Linked DNA regions of Coturnix japonica. The protein of the gene in region 2 binds, or shares a complex with, the protein of the main gene of each other region. Links are inferred from orthologs where the notes say so. Each region holds a gene or a part of one and is shown on either strand. Other genes may lie near its edges. The genes, in order: TADA2B and TAF5.

Region 1 (10,539 bases), on a different chromosome or scaffold from region 2:
GATGAAAACGAAGCAGTCAGTGACATTCTGTTGCTTAGTGGCCTTCAACACTGTTCCTTCAGCTCTCTTCTTCCAGTAATATTTGTTACAACCACGGCTACTGAAGGTACATTAAAATGAACAAAGTGCTCACAATTCTGTTTTTATCACTGTAAAGTGAAGATCCAGTCAGTGGTTCAGATGGTTCCTTTCCCTTTGTAGAACCTAACACTGCAAAAGTGGGTGAAGTCATACAGATAATTACTGGTACTCTGCAATTACCCATTGGCTTTTTGGCTGATGGAAGCACCCATTTTTGTAGTGTGCCTATTCAGAAACAATCCCTCTCAACAACTGAAGTACAAATGTTTGTGAATTCTGACCTCTAAATAAAAGATGAGGGAGAGCAGACATCCTTTCTAATTGTTCAGCCCTTTTAGATCAATAGTCAAGTTAAGTTGATTGACTCAAGAAAACCATCTAATACTTGTATGGCATTGAAGAACCAATACAACTTACTTATCCTATCTATCTCTGGATTTTTAATTTAATATTTAAATTGATTTAATGGATTTTGATAGACTTGTAACTTTCAAGCTCTGCCATCGGTTTGTTATGCAAGATGTAGTTAAAACTCCACTGAGAGTCAGAATACCTGAAGTGGTATCTGCTACATTTAGAGCTACACAAGTAATTGTAAGTGACTCAAACAACAGTGTGAACTCAGTTTCATTTCTTGTGTTTGCTCACCTTGGATCTTGGGCTGCAATAGAACTTTTCCCATGTGCAGCTCTCATCACGTGTAACTGCACCTGCTGCACCCCATTCTGCAGAATGAGGCTAAAATACTGTGCCAAGAGCGGCAGAGTGCTCTGCTCTATGTTCATCTGGTCATGTTGAATGGATGGGACATGCCAATCTACACACCTGACAGAGTGTCTTCCCTCAGATCCTCAAGGCACATACATGTAACACACCAGACTGAAACATCAGAATCACACACGTTATTTAGGACCTGGTAGTGGAACAGTAAGGGCTTCTGAATTTTCCATCCTCACTGCTGGTGGTTTGAACAAAGGAGCTTCTTAAGTTCACGTGTCAGTTGAGACTGAGATTTTAGTAATGAATTGACCAGCTCCTTAGATGGTGTCTTTGTTAGACTCCGTTACTTTATTTAAGGTACCGCTAAACGCAGCTTACTGGTGAGTGTGCAGCACAGGACTCAAGCTTGTTTCCTTAAAACTAAGTGAATTCTGAACAACGTCTGAGTGAAATAATTCCTTCTCCTCAGTGTGCCCCTGCAGAGGAGGTAGCATACAGGAAAGCCTTTGCTGAGCTCTCCAAGCACCCGTGTGCTGACAGATGACAGCAGAATACAGTGAAGAAATGAAAAAGTGTGTGGCTCTGAAGTGTAAGAACAGCTAATAAAGCTGCCACTGCTACCTCTGGCCTAAGCTGGTTTGTTACAAGCACTTCACGCATCAGCATGTAGCTAAAACACATCTCTGGTCACTGCTGCCAGGGCTTTGGCTGGTACAATGAGGAAAAGGGCTACGTTACCATGAAATCAATAGTGGAAAGAAACTTTAATACAAGTTTATTTACCAATATACAATGCAAAAATCTAGTAAAATGCTGAGTGTGCACAACATCAGTTAGGTTTTACATGATTTCAGCACAGACATTTGTGTGCCTGGCACAGCTACGCCAGTACACTATGCAAATGAGTGCAACATTCCCTTTAAGGAAGAAGCTGATGAACCAGAGGTGCTCACCAGGTACCCTCCTTCACAGTATTGAATTCGTCATCACTTAAGAGCACCTGGGGCACAAGCAAAAACACCTTGCAAGGAAGAGCAGTAAACCAAAAGGCTGACGCAGCCGATTACAATTGCAAAGAAACCCAGTGCAGCCACCATGCAAGAGAAGAACGACAGAGTGCTTCAGCTTTGTGATCCACAAGGCCATTTACAGGCAGAGGCTCCAACACCTCTTAATGCCATTCTTAACCCTGGCTGGGACTGCAACAGAACATAGGGCAGGAAGGGCTGTAAGCAGGACGCTGTAAGGAGCCCTCCTCATCTGTTGTATGCACAGAATGAAGGTTAATGCTCCTTTGCTACTCAGTAAGTTGTACTGTAACGCACGGCTGAGACTGATGGAAGCACGTGTACAGCAATACAACAGGCCGACTGCCGCCATCTACCAGCAGCAGGTCAGACTGAGCAGCTGACAGCACTTTTCCATCGGCTTGCATCAATGCTGTTAGGGCAGATCCTATCGTTAGCATTATTTTTTCATTCAAAAATAAGAGCATTAAGCATTAAACAAACAAACCAACCAAGCACCTCTTCATTAGCAACACGAAGGCCAGGGTATCGGTACAGTACAGGAAGTGCTTCCTGACAAACACAAGACACAAAGTTGAAGAGTTTTTGCATCGCTTTTTCTCAGCCCCTTCACCACACGAGAAGCAGCACAGCTCTACTAAATCGCCAGCTTAAGATAACTGCATCTGTGCTTGAGAAAACAAAACAGCAGCTCGTAACAAAGGAATGCTTAGACTATGTCAGTTCCATCTGAAAACACGGGACAGCAGCATCCTCTAGTGCAAGTCACCTTTAGAATCGACAGCATAGCTGACAGTGAGACGCTGCTTCTAGGGAAACCCTTTCCAAGGGATCAGCATTTGCTACAGCAAACATTTACCACCTTGAATCTGCTTGCAAATATAAAATAAATATCGATATCCATATCTCATACATTAAAAATACTTTATTTTACATTCATCCTGATGTTCAATAAGTTACGTCTAGCACCAAAGAAACATTTTGGAAGGGCTGAGGAATTCAGGAACTACAAAGTGAATGCAGAATTCAGTTCTACAACGTCTAAATGAGTCATTGGTGCCGAGATACTTTTATTCTTCAATTACTGTTCAGATGGGCTTTAGGCTATTGCTTCAGTTAGGCTTAGGTGTGCCAAAGCACCGTAGGAATATAAAATTGAGATCTGAGGAAGATAGGAATAAATCAGAAACCCACATCTGTGTTAACCTCCCAGCTGCAGCCAGAGCCGGGCAGAGGAAGAACCGAATTGCATAACTCCAAGGCTGGAAAGGCTGAGCTTCCTTTCCACAGGAGAAGGACAGAGGAAATAATCAACAGTTCACACCTTCTGAACTTGTCTCGCGTGCGCTCTGTACGTGCATGTAGGTGGAAGAGGTTCTTAAAGCTACTGGCACACTGCAGTGAGTTACAACGCTGTCTCAAGTGCCCGAGAAGCCACTTCCAGGTGAGCCAAAGCACTCCTCCAGAGCACACAGCCCTTTCCTTTCCTGGAGGGACGTAACACCACAAGCTCAAAACAAAAAGGCACTAAGAGCTTTTTTGTGTGTTATTTTTCCCCTTCTCCTTAGAAATGCTGGCTTTATAACTGTACTCTCTGTATTCTAAACTCAGTGGTAACACTACTCTGATAACGCTGGAGATACTGACTCAAAACCAGTTCTGGTCAGCGTAGCTCTGCCAAGCTGCAGAATTAATACTGTTTGTAAGATGTCGGGGGCTCCTCTCTGACCACAGCCCGCGGCACCAGAACCAGAGCGCACCTCCCGTGTTCACAGCTGTTCTCAACTCAGCTCCACCTCCTGGCACACCCACACAGTGGAGCTGCTGCCCAGCCAGCCACCACGCACAGCCCAGGTGTGATAACACTGATGTCTGTCACACAGAATCCACTCTCCTTTATTAATTTCACGTGGCTGGATGCCAGCACAGGAATCTAAGAATGAAATGACGATAAAGAAAGGCCGCCTCTGCTCCTCCTTGAACACCTTTCCCTTAACCGGTATATACTACTAATACAGTGGGGTGGGTGAGGTGTTTCTATTGTGTTCTGCTGCTCTGTAACTCCAGCCCTGTGTGGCAGGGAGCGCAGCCCTCAGAGAGCTCTGACAACACAACAACACCAAAGTGGCCACTGCGGCAAACCGAGATCCATTCTGCCAACCACAGCGGAAACTTCGGCACATTTAGTCCAGAAGGTTTGGAGGTACATGCAGCCAGAAAGCTGCGACGGCTGCATCCACCGCTCTGCACTCCAGGAGCACAGAGCTGTGCGTTGTCATCTATATACTTTCCTTTTTAGTTTGTACAAACCAATCTCAGTGGCCGCTATGAGCTTCAGAACGGAGCTCCCTGTCCCCATCCCTCCCAGCAGCTCTCAGGAGGCAGCTGCAAGAGCTCAGGCTACACATGCTGGGCACAACAAACAGGAGAGGAAGAGCAGGTTCTCCTTGCAAAAGGAAGAGGTTATTTCACCACCTGAGGTTGCCAGGGCAGCATTCTGCCCGCTCTAAGCCACAGCTGGCCAGAACCAAACACTTCACTGCAGTGCTGAGCCCAGTGCAGAGCACACAGCTGCCCAGCCAAGCTTACACTTGGGTCAGGCAGCTCTCCAAGAAGCCTTCACACACAGCACAAATACCTGCAGGCACCTCATCTACCAACCCCCATCACAGCTCACCAGCGCTGCACCCCACGGAAGCTCTCACCCCACATCCTGACACCTGGGCTGTGCTAATGGCAGCGCTCCAAAAGCTCAGCAACGGCCACACCAATCCCTGCACCCCACATCTGACAGCTCAGGATTTCTGCAAGCTCTGCTTGGCTGCCATCACTGTGACAAAAAACATCAGGGAGAAGAAGAACTCAGCTGCTGAAAACCAGCTCTCACCTCCGAAAACAAAAAGAAAAGGAAAATAAAAGGCAAAGATTATGGCTGACATTGACATTGATCCAACAGTAAGGAGTGAAGTGATCACCCCAGAACCATCGGACTTGAGTAGGCTCACATGAAAGCAATCTCTTTGAGTAATGTAACAACAGTGTACTCTAACGAGTAATGCAACCGAATGGAGAAGTTTCACAATTCAGGGTTTTTCATGACCCAAAGCAAAAGTGTGCTGGGAGCTCAGCCCACAAGCACCGCGGGGGGGGGGGGGGGTTGTTTTTGCTTCTTTTGTTTTTGTTTGTCTGTTTTGAATGAGATAATTTCTGTATCTCCAGCGAGGGCAGGAAAAGGAAGGGAACTTGTCAGGTCTCTGATGCGGTGGCTCAGATGGATGGGCCTCATGACACGTCTCTGGATATCCAACCGCTCTCTGTTAGAAAGTTTAAAATCCTTTTCTTCAGTACCTTATCCAGGTAACTGGGGAGGCGGCTCTTGGAAGGAATCCCTTGTCTTTTCTGAAGATGGTCTTTAATGATGATGGTTTTTACAGTCACGTAACGCGCAGGACTCAAATTCAGAGAGCTGCAAAGCACTTTTTCCCTGTCCGATAAGAGTTCGAAACCAGGCAGGTTTTCAATGGCAGCAAATTCCCCTTCTTTGCCGTCCTCCTTCCCCCTCTTGGAGCTGGCAATGTTTTTGTTCTCCTTCCTCTTCTCCCGTTTATGTCTGGCTGCCTCGTATTCCGCCGACTCTTCCATTTTGGTGATCCCATTCCGCCGGTACCGCTGCAGCTCCCGGATCTTTGCTCGCAGCACCCTTTCCTTGTGCATGTTCTCAAAGAAGTCTTCAAACTCCTTACAGGACATGAACTGGTACAGAGGCCTCAGTTTCAGCCTCAACTCCTTCTCTTCTTTCGTGATCTTTCGTTTGGGAGTTTTCTCCTTGTCTTTCTTATCCTTCCCCAGGAAGGCCGGCACCAAGTTATAATCTCTCGCAATGTTCTTCCGCCGTTGCCTCTCCTTGAGTTTTCTTACGTACATGTCTACGTGAGCTCTTTTCAATTCTATCTCCACGTCATCATCGTCGTAGTTCACTGACAGGCCGCTGATCAGTGTCTCAGCATCCTGGTCGTATTCGATCTCGTAGTCGTCCCGTAGCGGCATGTAGCCCAACTGCTGCTGCTCAGCCACCGAGATGTCCAAGGGCGGGAGCGGCGTGGTCAGGCTGGGGGAGAGAGGCCCCCCGCTGGGACACGTGTGGTCCGTCACCCTGTTGGGGATGGTGTCGGGGATGCAGGCCTTGCCCAGGTTGCCGTGGATGTACATGCTCACGTAGTGCTCCATCACCTCCTGGGGTGTCCGGGATGCTCCCACGTGAGCGGCCATGTCTTCCTAAATGGAAAACAAGGAGGGGCAATAAGAAGGTTCCCGTTATACCTCCAGCACAGCACTCGCTCCTTCTTCCCTGCCCCTCAAAAACTGATTCACAAGACACCACGATGGCTCCTGAGTCCCTGAGCTCAATGTGTCACCTGCCAGAGTTCTGTTTTACAGCATTACTTTTGGAGCAACAGAGAAATAAAGAAAGTAATAGAGAAATAAATAAAGAAAAGGGGCACGGCTTCAAGCTGAAAGCAGGGATACTGAAGTTGGGGATGTTAGGAAGAAATCCTGTACCCAGAGCGCAGCGCTACACAGGACAGGCACATAGAGACCAGCCGAGCTCGGAGCAGCTCGATGCCCCGCACCCTTACAGCCCTTACTCTCCTTACCCAGTTTCCGAACCCGAACTGCTCGATGGCGTCCAGCAGCAGCTGCTCCTCCCGGCTGCTCCATCCACCCTCCGCCTCGGCGCCCCATAAGGTGAATCTGCCGCCGTCCACCAGCTGGTAGCCGTGCCATCGGCGGTGCGGGCCGATCTCGGCTCCGGCCGAGAAGCAGTCGGGGCAGAGCTCGATGTCTGCGCACTCAGTGCAGCGGAAGCGCAGTGAGCTCACCTCGGCCAGGCAGTACACGCAGTACTTCTTCCCCAGTTCCGCCATCTTACCCCGCCCGCCGCCTCCCCGCGCGCACGCGCGGCCCCGCCCCCGCTCACACGCGGCCAATGGCGGCGCTCCCGCCGGGAGGAGCCTCGCGCCGGGCGGCCAATGGGTGACGAGAGCTCGGGCTGCCCCTCCGGATCGCGGCCAATGGGGGCGAAACGCCCGTTGGCGGGGGGGATTCGTGTGAACGAGAGGCTGCGATTGGCCGAGCGGAGCCCTGCCGCCTTTCGGGCGACCAATCGGAGACGTGACCCCGGGCGAACCTGCCGCTCAGTGGTGGCCGGGGAGAGAGGGCGGGGAAAGGGGCGGGGCCGGGACAGAGCAGAGCAGTCACCCGGGCAACGGGGGAAGCGAACGGGAGGAGACATGGACGGGAACGGCCAGAACCCGGCAACGGAGGAGCCCCCGGCCGAGGAGCCCCCGGCATTGGAGCAACCCCCGGCCGAGGAGCCCCCGGCCATTGGGAGCAACCCCGGCCGGAGGCAGCCTCCGCATTGGGAGGCAAGACCCCCGGGCCGAAGGAAGGCCCCCGGCTTGGGCAAAACCCCCGGCCGAGAAAGCCCCCGGCATTTTGAGGAGCAAACCCCCGGCCGAGGAGCCCCGGATTGGAGCAACCCGGGGCCCGAGGAGCCCCGGCTATCTGGGAGCAACCCCCGGCCGAGGAGCCCCCGGCATTGGAGCAACCCCCGGCCGAGGAGCCCCCGGCATTGGAGCAACCCCCGGCCGAGGAGCCTCCGGCGTCGACGCCGGAGGAGCCCCCGGTATTGAGTGAGCCCCCGGTATTGGAGGAGCCCCCGGTATTGGAGGAGCCCCCGGTATTGGAGGAGCCCTCGGTATTGGAGGAGCCCCCGGTATTGGAGGAGCCCTCGGTATTGGAGGAGCCCCCGGCTGAGCAGCCCGGGGATGGCGAAGTCTCCGAGAGCGAACGCGACGCGCTGAGCGAGGACAGCGAGGAGCCCGAGGGCCCGACGGAGCCTGCGGAGCCCCCGCAGCCCGAAGGCGAAGCGGAGGAGGCCGAGTGCCGCGACGAAGCCGAGGAGGAGGAGGAAAGGGAGCGCGACGAGCTGCTGGCCGAGTACCGCGAGCTGGAGTCCGAGCGGCAGCGGCTGCACCAGACCGAGAGCCGCCTGCAGCTGCTGCTGGCGGAGCTGCTGAGGCCGCAGCGGAGCGAGCGGCGGGCGGACGAGGCGGGCGGGCAGCAGCTGTTCGCGGAGCGGCTGCGGGAGCTGCGGGAGCTTTGGGGGCGGAGGGAGCGGGAGGCAGAGAGCTGGAAGCTGCGGGTGGACGAACGGCAGAAGGACAGCGAGGAGAGCGAGGCCAGGGCCAGAGCCGCGTGGGCCGCCTTCCAGGCGAGGAAGAAAGCCGTGGCCGTGCAGACACTCGAGCGGCGGCGGGGCGGCAGGGAGGCGGCCCTAAGGACGGTGGGGGACATCCAGGCTCGGGAGAAGGACAAGGAGGCCGCACTGCGGGAGGTGAGTGCGGCACCGCCGGGTCCGGCCGCGAACACGAAGGGTTCAGCCCTCCGTCTGCGCCGAGCTCCTTCCCTGCCGAGCCGGGGATGAGGGGCGGGGAGCCATCCCTCGTGTGCCTCCATCCATCCCTCGCGTGCCTCCATCCATCCCTCGTGTGCCTCCATCCATCCCTCGTGTGATTCCATCCCTTGTGTTCTTCCGCCCCTCCAGGCCCGGCTGGAAAACATCAAGGTGAAGCTTGAGGTCCGAAAACTTGAGAGGATCCTGAGAGCCCAGAGAGAATCGATGAAAGGCAGCAACCGCGCAGAGATCAGTCTCATGAAGAAAGAGAACCAGCAGCTCAACGAAAAGCTCGAAGGCCTCAACTGCGAAGTTCTGAAGCTCAAGAGGAAAGTAGCTGACGTAGAACGGACCCTCAACTACATCAGGGAGAAGCTGCAGTTTGCGGAAGCTGAGAACCAAGGCCACAAGGCTGAGCTGAGGGACATCATGAGCGCCCTGAGGCAGAAGAGAGACGCTCTGACCAAGAGCAAGAAGGTCAGAGACAGGCTGAGGGCACACAGCGTGAAACTACTGCAGCAGCGCGGCCTGCTTGGGGAGGAGACACTGCTGAGGGACTTTGAGGAAAAGGTGAACAACATGGAGTTGTTACATCGGCAGCTGGAAGCACTGAAACATCGCCACGCTGCTCTGATCCTCAAAGAGAGGGAGATTCAGAAAAAAATGAGCAAAGCCAAATCATTTCTACCTTGATGAGGGAAGTAAAGCATTGAAAATAGAGAAAGCGCAGCCTTTTCTGTAATCCTCTTTTTAACATGTTCAATCCAGTAACAATCTGTACAACCACCACGTGTGACTTCTACACAGGTCCAGGAGACCTGGAGAATTAACTCAAGGTTAACTTTCATAGATGGAGCTGCGAGCTGGAGGAATGCTGGGGATTCACAGCAAACCCCACTTGCATACACACAGCGTACTATAGAAGGACTAACACCCTCATTCTGTTGACAGAACTGGCTGCAAATTTCATTATGGTGCTGTACAGGATGAAAGGTTACTGCTCCAAATATGTCTATTAAATTTCTCATTCCAAACTAGTCTGAATTTTGTGGTCTTTCAGCTGTTAGAGCTTTAGCAGGCACCATGTGGTGTGTGGTGGGGATGGAATAGCACAAGCCCACCACAGCTACAGGCCCTTTGCACTGTTCAAGGACAGCGCATCAGAAAGCCAGAAGACTGAAAAAAGGGGGAAGGGAGGGAGAAGGTGCCACACAGGGATGATCATACAGCTCATGGTGAGCAGCAGAGGCTGTCTGACAGAAAGTACATGCGTAGGAAGGAAATGTGTCGCTGTGTTTCTCCACATGGAAAAAATGGCGCCCCTGACATCCATCCACATTTGCTGAACATCTTTGGAGACCAAACTGTGGAAGGAGGAGATACCTGAGCTTTCGGTTTCTCAGTCGCACCGACAGCAGGTGATTAAGGTAACTTTACATGACTTTATTTAATAAAACCATATATTTACAGTTGAAAAAAGTTCCAGTTTGATACACGTATCTAAACGAAACCAGCTACATAAAAATGACTGAACCATGATGTACAGAGGATGTCTCAACAGTTCTCTATGCGTCCAGTTTGTAAAACATTCAAAAATGAGCTGCTGGAAGGAACCTTCCAACCCAGACTGAATCAAATGAGACACGTTAATGACTGATTGCTGACGGCGGCTGCAAAACGGCTTTGCAATAAAGTGCGGGTTGTACAAAACTCCAAAGCTGGTGACAATGCTCTGGATTCTCTGATCTGTTCGTACGGTGATGGTGGAAACCCACCAAGAAAACAATAGTCTGCTGAGATGGGGACGCTTCAATGAGAGAACACGTCACGCGTGACGTTACAAATCGCCTTCAGCACCTGAAGTAACGGTGTCACTATTTGTTATGCAATCCCTGAATCGATTACAGAAACCTTCCATAATATTGAAGAGATTTGGTATGCCGCAAGGAACTTAACAAGCTTGGTGGCAAGTAATTCTAAGCCATTACAACTCATCTCTGTTCATATCAAAATTCAAGTGTAGTCTTCAAGTTACTGAGAGGTTGGAACAATTGCATCTTTAGGCAGGTCATTTTGTTTTCAAATGCATTTTGTTTGATAATAAACTGTGCAAAGCTCCTCCTTATTGCATTGCTTTTCTTCATTAAAGAACATACCTTATATACACAAAGAAATCATCTGGAAAATATATACATCTCCTAAGAACAGAAAGATCGAATCACAGACCAAAATAATTACATTTGCAAGTAACAA
Region 2 (10,064 bases):
TGGTGCAAAGAAGCAGAAGTGGGTGCTATTTCCTATTTTAAAGATAATTTGTAATGGAGATGGAGTAGCTGATTCTTTCCTGAGTATTTTATCTTCTCTGCTGTAACACATCCTAAAATGACCTGAGCACTTAATAGTTGAGGAACGATCTCAGCAGCATGATCCCAACAAGCACAGAGCTTACAGCTGCTCAAAGCATCTCTATGTTGCCAAGTGTCATACTGGACATCAGTAAACTTGCATGGCTTACAATTACTCGGTTGTGCTGGTTACTCCCTTTTTTAACGCTTCTGGCTATTAGCTTACGTGGAATCCATTACTTAATTAATTAATGGTAATGCAATGCAGAATAGCAGTCAGCTGCAGTGTCAGTTGCCTGTTTTTTGCATAAAATCCTTTGGTTTTGAGTGAGAACATCCCACCATGGAGCGATTTTACTTTCTCAAAAACCCCAAACTTAATAGCAGCAGGTAAATGTGGGTGCTGGCAGAAAGAGTGTAGGTCAGGGGAAATTACATGAGGTTCTTGTGATCTCCATCCTTAATTTATTATTAAAGCCATCCTTCTGAGTAAATGTAGTCTTTCCATTCTGTTTACATCAGCCTCTGCCCTTTATGTCCTTCCAGAGGAACAATAGTTGTTGTAACTGTAATGCTTGGCAAAAATGTATCACATACAATTAGAACTAAATCTTAGTTAAATCATCAGCTGTTGAACTAACTCCCTTGTTTCTCCAAGCAGAGCACTCGCTTTTAAAAGCATTGCTCTCACATCCACTGCAGCTGTCAAGGAAAGAAAGCATCTTCTTCCACCATACAGTCTACAGACACAAGCTGTGTGGTTTTAGTATTTATTATACTATCAAAAGTATAAAACTGTACAAAATAAAAAGGCAGAATGCAGCAGTGTTTTCTTCAAGCTCTCAAAGCTGTACATGCTTTTAGGTAACTTGTTTGATTCACTACCATTTTAAGTCCAGCTGATCGTATTGACTACTAGGAAGTTCTGATGTACCTTTACAGATCAAATCCATCATAGTTTAGTTTTAACCATTTCTCTTTAAAGAATGTTTCTGGATTAGCTTCCTTATGAATTTTCCACCTTTCCTTTGACATTTAATGCCCCGATGCCTCTTTACTCCAAGGCTTAGTCAGAAAAAGGATGAGACAGGAGGTAGTTCTTTGTTTACCTTGGAAACGTCAAGTCTTGGTTTTCTGCATCTTCAGTAGAGAGCCAGCAGATTTCTTTTTCTTGAATTCAGATTTCAGTTTCTTGATCCTTCACTAGCTTTAGTGTGATCTGTTAAACTGTTTTCTCAAAGGATGCAGGTTTTTGAAGCTCTTCAAATCTAATAGAACGTGTGGGGGCTTAAGAATATTGTTTTTAAGATTGGGTGATGCGTGTCTCCAAAGAATTCACATTGCAATCTGCGTTCCTTATCGCACAGCAGCAGCTTCTTGTCAGAACAGAATAACAAGATCTCCATTTCTAATACCTCAAAAGAGCACAAAGTTTGAAATCTTTTCAGGACTTGGTACTTAAAAACTACACGTAACTTCTCTGCAGTTCCCCACAAGCCTCTGCCTGTTGGGCTTATTCTTTCAATGCCCTATTTGTTGCTATAATATTCTCACCATTCCTGTTGCCCAGCCCAGGCTATAGTGAGTTAAACTACATTCTCCTTTTCTGAGTCTGAAGTTTTCACCTGTGTTTGAGACTGATTAAACATTAGCAAACCATATATTAAGTGCTTTAAAAAAACTCATTTGAGAACACAGACCAGGGCTGTTAACTTTCCAGAAGTTTCAGCAGAGCTCAATACCATCTCTGAGAGGAGACAGCCATTGTCATATATATACATGTATGTATGTATATATATACATATGGATACATTTATCAAAAGCACCATGAAACAATTCCTTTAAATTCACACTGTCTTGTCAGTCTCCAGCATTTTCAAACTGTGAGAGCAAAAGATGTGAATTACGAGAGCAGAATAGAGAAGATGTCACTTGAGTTAGTTTACAGTTTTGTTTTTCCTGCAATGGACTAACAAAGTCCACCCATACAAGACATTCCTCTTCATCTCACATTCTGAGGTCACTGCTGCAACAACTTGGCACAGCCAGTCTTACGTCTTCCTGATCTACTGTGAACTGTAGGCTCCTGCAGCCAGCAGCAAGTTCCTGCGTGTAAAATGAAGGTGTACAACTGGAGTTGATTTGGTCATGTATGTACCCAGTAACAAGTCCTGGGAGTTTTCAGGCAAGTTTATGTGTCCAGTGGCTGTAGTAAAGTCATCCGTTTCTAAGTCTTCAAATGCTTTCACTGCATCCCACAGCCGAACTGTGTTATCCATTGAACCTACAAGGGAAAAAAGGAAAGTAACATTTAAAAGTCTTTTCCTTGCTAGACAGCAAATTAACACAACAGGAATTAAAACTCACAAAGCAGAACAGCTCATAACTGAATACTAAGCACTCATCCTGCAACGAAGCATTTTTAAACAAGCCTTTAACACAGTGAAAGCAGGAATAAAAGCCATCACCTGCCATCTAACAGGAATGCACTGCAGATAAAGTGCCAAGAAGCACCTCTGAGAACAGCTGGGTTTCCATTCTATCAGCCAGCACTTGAAAAGGCAAAACAACCTTAGGCCTACATGCCAACTCCACCAGATGTTTATGATTCTAAGTCACATAATGACTTTTTTCTTGACACTTGGATACTTCCTTTGATAGAGGGAAGAGCTCAGTATTTTGCAGGCCCAGTGGACTCTGCTTTCATTGGAGCACTGGTCAGCTGAAGGAACCATTCACTCTTGTGGTAGCGGCTCACTCAGGATTTAGTGATTCTAATTAGCCTTACTCAGCTTAAGGTACATTATCATTACATAATCCCACTTCAAACAGATGGAGCACAATGGAAACATGTTTGCTTCCAGTGACTTTTACCTGATGCTAAGATCTCCCCATCTCTACTGAATCGGAGCGCATAGATAGTGTCAGTGTGCCCTTTCAGTTCTCCAACCATCAAACCATGTCCAATATCCCACAGCAGAACTCTGCCATCTGTTGCTCCAGTAGCCAGGAATCGTCCATTAGGAGAAAATGCCAATGAATGAATCGGACCCTACAAAAGACATTTGCAGTGAGGAAAGCCAAACGAGCTAATTAGTCAATCTGCACTTGTTCTGAATGCTACTCTTCAGAATCACACCACAGAAATTAAGTCACATTGGTGATGTGCCTTTACCTTATGTCCAGTGAATATTCTTACACAATTCCCATTTAAAACATCCCACAGCCGTACAGTCCTGTCTGCTGAGCCAGTGGCAATATAGTTGGAGTTAGGGTGAAATCGAGTACACGTCACATCAGCAAGGTGGCCAGCAAATATCCGTAAAGGCTGGTAATGATCTGTTGCCCACAGTCTGAAAAGAAAAGCTTTGTTAATAAAGGGAGCACTAATGAAGTTCAGAATCTGTTGCACGGTAATAAAAGAAATAATTAATGAGTGGCTTCTTACTGGTAAATTTGTTGAATTAGAAGGATCGATTCTGGAAAACTATGCTTTTGGGAAGGGAGAAATAAAGGACATTCTGTCATGGTTATTAAACAACAGGAGAAAATATTTCTAACATGAAATGACCACATAGGAGGATGATGTCTCTGATGTGTGTTGAAAAGGAAAACAAACATATATTAAAATAGTTGCTTAGTATTTTAATTCGTGTGTAATAAAATTTATTTCCAGTAATAGGTTATTAACTATATCAGCCAATAATCACTTTCTGAGTTAATTCACCACAAAACTGGTATGTAGAAAACTCATCTAATTTCTTACCTAGCCACTCTGTCATGTCCCCCCGACACAAAATAATACCCATAAGGAGAGAACTGCGTATCCCATACTGGATAGTTGTGTCCTTTATATCCCACCAGACAAGTGAATGTTTGGAGGCTCCACAATCTGACAGTACCATCCTCAGAACAGGACAACAGGTAGTTCCTGTCACAGGAGAAAGTATAGTACATTACATACCAAGTTAACAGACTGTGTAGTCATTGCATAAGCTCTGTAACAATTCTATGATACATAGAACTCTCCACTGGGCAGCTACTATTTAGTATTTCCCATTAAAATCAGCATTTTACTGAAGTAAACAACAATAAACTGTTCGGGAAGAACTGAACCCTTGGTTGTCAAGCATAAGAGACATTTGAATGTTGATGATTAATTCTGATGACACAGCAATACAGAGGGGCTGCAAAAAAGAACTAGTCTTCACTTAAGAATTACATTCACATGCGGGGGGAAAAAGCAGTAGATTGCTACACTATATTACTTTAGAATAATCTTAATGCAACTCTAAACTATATGGTAAGATTCCCTGAATGTGAACTCGGTATGAAATCTTTTTCTTAATTATTAACAAATTATGAATAGACTCTCTATATAGACTATAGGCTGTATATAGATTCTATAATCATGTTCCACACAAAGCTTACTTCTCAGCTGTATTTCTGTGATGGTTGTCTCTTGTGTAGCTTACATAATGTTTTCAAATCTCTTATTTTAAAGAAGATACAAGAGTTACTTTGATCTTCTGGTAAAAGCCGCATTATAAACACGTTCACATTCATAGCACACTATTAAGATTCAACACAAGCGAACTAATTAGCTTGTAAACTTTATTTTACCTATCAGGACTGAAGCTGGTGCCATAGACAGGTCCACTGTGACCGTATAAAATCTTCAACTCACTTGCAGTTTTCTCATCCATGATCCTCTCCAAGACATCGTCTGATTCTTTGTCAATTAGACTGAGGTCTGCAAGATTTCAAAAGTTCACACATCATGACAACTGTCAGAGGTTCATCAAATGCCATGAAAACAAATAGCATTTTCCCCAAAAGCAATAAAAAAACTCATAAACAAAAACACCTTGAAATAGGTAATGGTGAAATATAAACAATGGCACTTAAAATACTTCTACCATTGTAAAAGGTGGCAATAATGCTTTATGTAAATAACCACTCTTTAACAAGTCTTCATAACAGATAAAACCTCATAAAAGATAAAATCCTGAGGGGTTTATTTTTTAGCCTCAGGACACACTTCTTGAGATGACAAATTTCCATGCCTTTTCCCAGGAAGTTAATACGGCACAAACACACTTTGCAGATGTTCTGACAGCTTCCCACTACACACAACTTAAAACAGCTTTCAATCTGTAGGCTACTATTTGCTGAACACCACAAGCACTTTTTGATTCAGCACAATGACTAAGAACAGTTCACTCGTTTGTAGGCTGCCCAGCAGTAGGTGTACACAACCAGATACCTCATTCCCTTAAAGATATGTATTTCTATTTGTAGTTACAAGACACAATTATACAGCCGTGCTCAATGTTTCTTCAAAGTAACAAGATGCAGCTGCTCAAAACAACTCTCCCAATAGACATATTCTTCTGTTCACACAAAACACACATAACACAAACAACACACACTCACATTACATTTTTTTTACTTAATTACCTGCTGCTGCCTTCACACTACGTAGCTTTTTTGGAGTCACGGACCACACTCTGACGGTAGAGTCAGCAAAGCCTCCTACAATCATGCTGGAGTCATCTGTAATATCTACTGCAGTTAGACCCTATAGACAAAATAGCCATTGATGTTGTTTGTATTTTTCACAGTGTATTTCAAACACTACCAAACCCTAAACACTAAAAAGAGAATTAACTATGCTCATTTGATAAAAATAGAATAGTTTGGACAAACACTTGCTTGAAATAAACACACACATTCTTGCACCACGAAAAAGAAAGATATATAAATGAGGCGTAGTTAATGATGACAGAGCAGAACTGCTTCCCAGTATTTTGGTGCAAACTATCTACTGTATTCTGTAGAGTAGGGTCACATAGGAAAAGTGAAAGAAAGAATTAAGGTAAAATCAGAGCAAACCCAAGGAACTTGGAAATTAGTTTAATGAAGTCTATAAATAAAATTTTGAACGTTCCAAATACTCTGATAACCAACATTAACTCTTCAGTCTTCTTTCTTTATTAAGAGTGAAGTTTATCATTTTGACTCCCTCTTTCATGTTGCCCAAAGTCTTTTTTTTTTACCAACCTGATAAGCATTAAGGAATGTGTAGAAGCAGATGGAAGGCAGACACTCTGGCCCAAGACGCACACGTCTGGCAGCTTCCTTCATGTTCATCACTTTATCCAGTTTATCTGAGTCTTTCAGTTCGGGCAGAGGAATTCTAGAAGCACACATTTTTATGAACTTTCCATATTGTCAATTTAAACAGAGAAAGCTGAACCTTCCCATGCAACCCTACACCTCAATATTCAAATATCAAAATAAATTCAGAAGAATGAAATACTGTGTAAAAGATTGATGAGAAAAAGAAGCAATAGCTTTATGAAATCCAGACAAGTAGTGAAACAAGGTAACTAATTAAGTATGGCTTGAAAAGATGAGACAGTAAGCAACTAAAATCAAGGGAAATCTAGATTGATGTGAAGGGCAAAGACAGAAGGCTACATGCTAAGGTTTGCATTATCCCCCTTGAAATCTTACAACTAAAGCTGTCTACGGCTGAAATGGACAAAGAGCTAAAAACATCATGTGACCAGCACTGCACATTTAACATGGTAATACTGGATTTAATAGAAGTTCCCTACACATCCTCCCTTGGTACCTGTTTTGAGGAGGAGCATTAGGGTCTTGTTTTTTACTTTTTGATCCTACACTGTCTCTTTTAGGTTTCTTCTTCTTTGGTTTTCCTTCCTCGTTTTCTCCTTCTTCATCTTCATCATCCAAAGGCACATCGAACTCTGGTTCTTTCAATAAGCCGAAGAAAACCTGCAAGCCAATAAAAGATGTATGACATAATGGTAATTTTTGCTCTTACTGAAAACTGATTTTTCATCAGACTCCAAACATTAGTCGGAAAGGGATAGTTCTACTAAGTTGAACATTACTGCATTCATTACTGATTAGCCTGGCACAAGTGTAAGACACGTTCTACTGTTTTAGCCAACAATTGACCTGGACAACTGTGAGTTCTCCCACCACCTCTTAGTTCTTCCCTGAAGCAAAATCCCTACAACTTCCATAATTTATTTGTGTAGCATTGCGGTACTGCGCTATTGAGATCTACCCAACAGCCTTTGCAATAATAACTGGAAGTGAGAACTATTGCTGCTGTACTAGAGAGGAAGCGAAATGGGTCAATGTTAAAACTAGACAACAAAATCATGAGTTTAAATCTAGTTCAGCAAACAGAATATAGCATTGTCTCTCACAGTTCCTTCCACCAGTCAGTGACACATTTTCATTTCTCTACTACTGATAACATCTATTTGTACAGAACCTTTATTTAGTTCATGTTGTCTTTTAAGATATCAAGTAGCAATAATCATATATAGTATGATTATATACATATAAACAAATATAGTACTTCCTGAAAAACTACTCTCAAAGCATTCAATAATAAAGAGCAACATCCTTTTCCTCCTACCTTTGCTTTATTTGCCTCTCGTTTTGCCTCCCCAGCCAAGCTTCCAACCATAGCATCTATCTGTTGTTTGCTACGGGGCATTCCATCAAATATATCAATGTAGAGATGTTCCTGAACAATGTTCCAGATCTGGTTGTTCTGCTTTTCCTGAAGATGCCTCTTCAAGAGCTGGTAAGAGTCACGGGAAATACGCAGAACGAACTTGCTTGTTCGGAAATCCAGCATGGTCTCATTACCTTTCATGTGTTCTTTTTTGGTTAAGCTGGATAATACACGGAGGTCATCTTGGTAATAACATTCCTGATCCCCATGAAATCTATTGAAACAATTTAACACGTGGGAAGAGATTCATTAGGAAAATATTATCTCCTAAGTGCACACTTAACTAGATAATTTTAACGTGAAACACAGTGGGTTCCAAAGGGTCCTCACAGAACTACATATGGAATGAGCTTTCTGCTTAAATAAATTTTGTTCCCAAGGAATCAACAACTTACAGCACACAGTAAAATTAACCAAGAGTTCAAAAAAACAAGATGAAGAGAGGACACAGAAATGCATATGCACAAAGGGTTATTGCCTGCAGTAAATAGTTACACTAATCTATTTACATAAATGAAACTTCAATTTGTGGTACAATAAAGTACAAGGCATTTCTTATTATGTAAGACTACCTGGATGTATTTATAACTGATTCATCATATGAATAAGCACATTTAACAATGGATACATTCTTCACTTTCCACCCACATTATCTAATAGCCAACATACATTTAGAGAAAATAAGTTCCCACTTTTAATTCAAATCATTTATAAGATACTTGTGGCAGGGAACATTTTATCTATTTAAAGAACTTCTTTTTCTGACCATATCTGAGGGATAAACATGGGTCGAAATGTTTCATAATTGATCTGATCCCAGAATACAAATTAAACTTATCCTCAAGTGATAAAGATGTGAAACACAGTAAGAGCACAGAAAAATGTACATTAATGATTAACCATTTCCTTTAGTCTTAGATGAATTTAAATACACATACTTTGATATTAGTAAGCATTTATAGACTGCACTGCTTTGGATCTCAGTGCAACTTTCAAGTGCTAGTAAATGAGCCCACAATTTTCCCTAACGCAGCATCATCTCTTCATTGCAGCAAGGAACCCACCACCTCAGTATAAACACCATGAAAATCTGCATGTGTACTGTTCAAAAGCACGGAGTTTGCACTTCTTTCTAATACTGGAGGTTGGAAAAGGATTCACAATTACAGCAATCCACAGATTGTCCCCTCAGCACTACAAAAGAACACGTTTGTGTATGTATATATGCACATACACACACACCTATGCCACCCACTACAGCTTACAGTCTTAATCAAAGTAGCAAACACCACACAATGGAATTACACGAATCAAAATCACTTACCTTTCAAAAAAAGACTTAGCTTCACTCTCATGTTGATTGTAGACCAACTCCAAGTACATGTGCACAAAGAGAGGATAAAACAGCTGAGACAGTTCGGCTCGATGACAGTCCAGGGAACACTCAATGAAGTTTTTTAAACCACTGTAGTACTCCTCGTACAGCGTTGGGTCCCCCTGCTGATTGTAGGCAGACAGCACTGCGCTCACATCTGGCTGATCCTCCACAACAACACCTCCTCCAACTGCAAAAGCATCAGCATATAAGAACAGATTGTACAGCTGCCTCAAAGAGCAACACACAAATAACAAATATACAGTGGCCAACAACTCCTCTGCTAAGGTGAGATACTGAGAACAAAACAGAACATTGTCTTGTGTTTGCACCTTTAAGTGCTACAATAGAGAGGACAGTGGCCCAGCAACTGATACTTCAAGTACCATTTGTCATCTTTTGTGCCCTCCCTGCCAAAAGTTGCCTACCAGGTACGTGGAAAGAAGCTGATGTCAGCATCACAATCCTACACAGCAAGGGCTAAAAACTGTCAAATGAGGAGCTGAATATTTTTAAGCCCATAAGATGTAATCACTGTAATTATTTTGCTTTTAATGAGCAAGCAAATTAAGTTAATCAAGTGAACAATTTATCAAGACCACTACACATCCATTCCAGGGCAGTGACTTTCTGTCACTTCCTAGCACTCTCACAGCAGTCTTTAAAATCACTAATCTCCTATAAAGTGATGCCAGGAACAAGCTGACCTCATATTGTACTCCTACTGCCATTCGGACATATAAGTTCCTGAAATGCTTCCAGTTTTAATGTAAAGCTACCCCACAGAATATCTTCATTAAAATTTACTACCCTGACAAACATCTAAAGCTGCTGTCAGCTTGCATTAGAAATGCATGAAGCCTTCTCCACAAGTACCATATTGTTCTTTCTCCAAAACGCAGCAGCTTGTACATTGGGGCTCCGGCATCATCACCTCTAACTACAAAGAGAACTCTGACTACAAGAGCCATCACCTCTACAAAGAGAATCTTCAGCCTCTCGTGATGCTCTTGAGATGGTACCCACAGACAACAAGAAACACCTC

What was found.
Region 1: TAF5 (region 2) and TADA2B share a complex: the UniProt entries of both Homo sapiens proteins name them as parts of the TFTC-HAT complex. The link is inferred for Coturnix japonica from reciprocal best matches to the Homo sapiens genes TAF5 and TADA2B.

What each region holds. Positions count from the first base shown.
Region 1 is NC_029519.1:72,521,205-72,531,743, reverse strand, and holds TADA2B (transcriptional adapter 2-beta), read right to left. Parts: upstream 6,802-10,539; 5' UTR 6,755-6,801; coding exon 6,485-6,754; intron 6,105-6,484; coding exon 5,112-6,104; 3' UTR 1,547-5,111; downstream 1-1,546. Other genes in the region: CCDC96 (coiled-coil domain-containing protein 96), read left to right, coding at 6,860-7,255, 7,366-8,226, 8,437-8,979. UniProt on the Homo sapiens protein: Coactivates PAX5-dependent transcription together with either SMARCA4 or GCN5L2.
Region 2 is NC_029521.1:20,664,081-20,674,144, reverse strand, and holds the end of TAF5 (transcription initiation factor TFIID subunit 5), read right to left. Parts: intron 9,210-10,064; coding exon 8,969-9,209; intron 7,859-8,968; coding exon 7,543-7,858; intron 6,885-7,542; coding exon 6,721-6,884; intron 6,280-6,720; coding exon 6,144-6,279; intron 5,662-6,143; coding exon 5,541-5,661; intron 4,834-5,540; coding exon 4,704-4,833; intron 4,012-4,703; coding exon 3,847-4,011; intron 3,434-3,846; coding exon 3,256-3,433; intron 3,133-3,255; coding exon 2,955-3,132; intron 2,365-2,954; coding exon 2,147-2,364; 3' UTR 834-2,146; downstream 1-833. UniProt on the Homo sapiens protein: The TFIID basal transcription factor complex plays a major role in the initiation of RNA polymerase II (Pol II)-dependent transcription.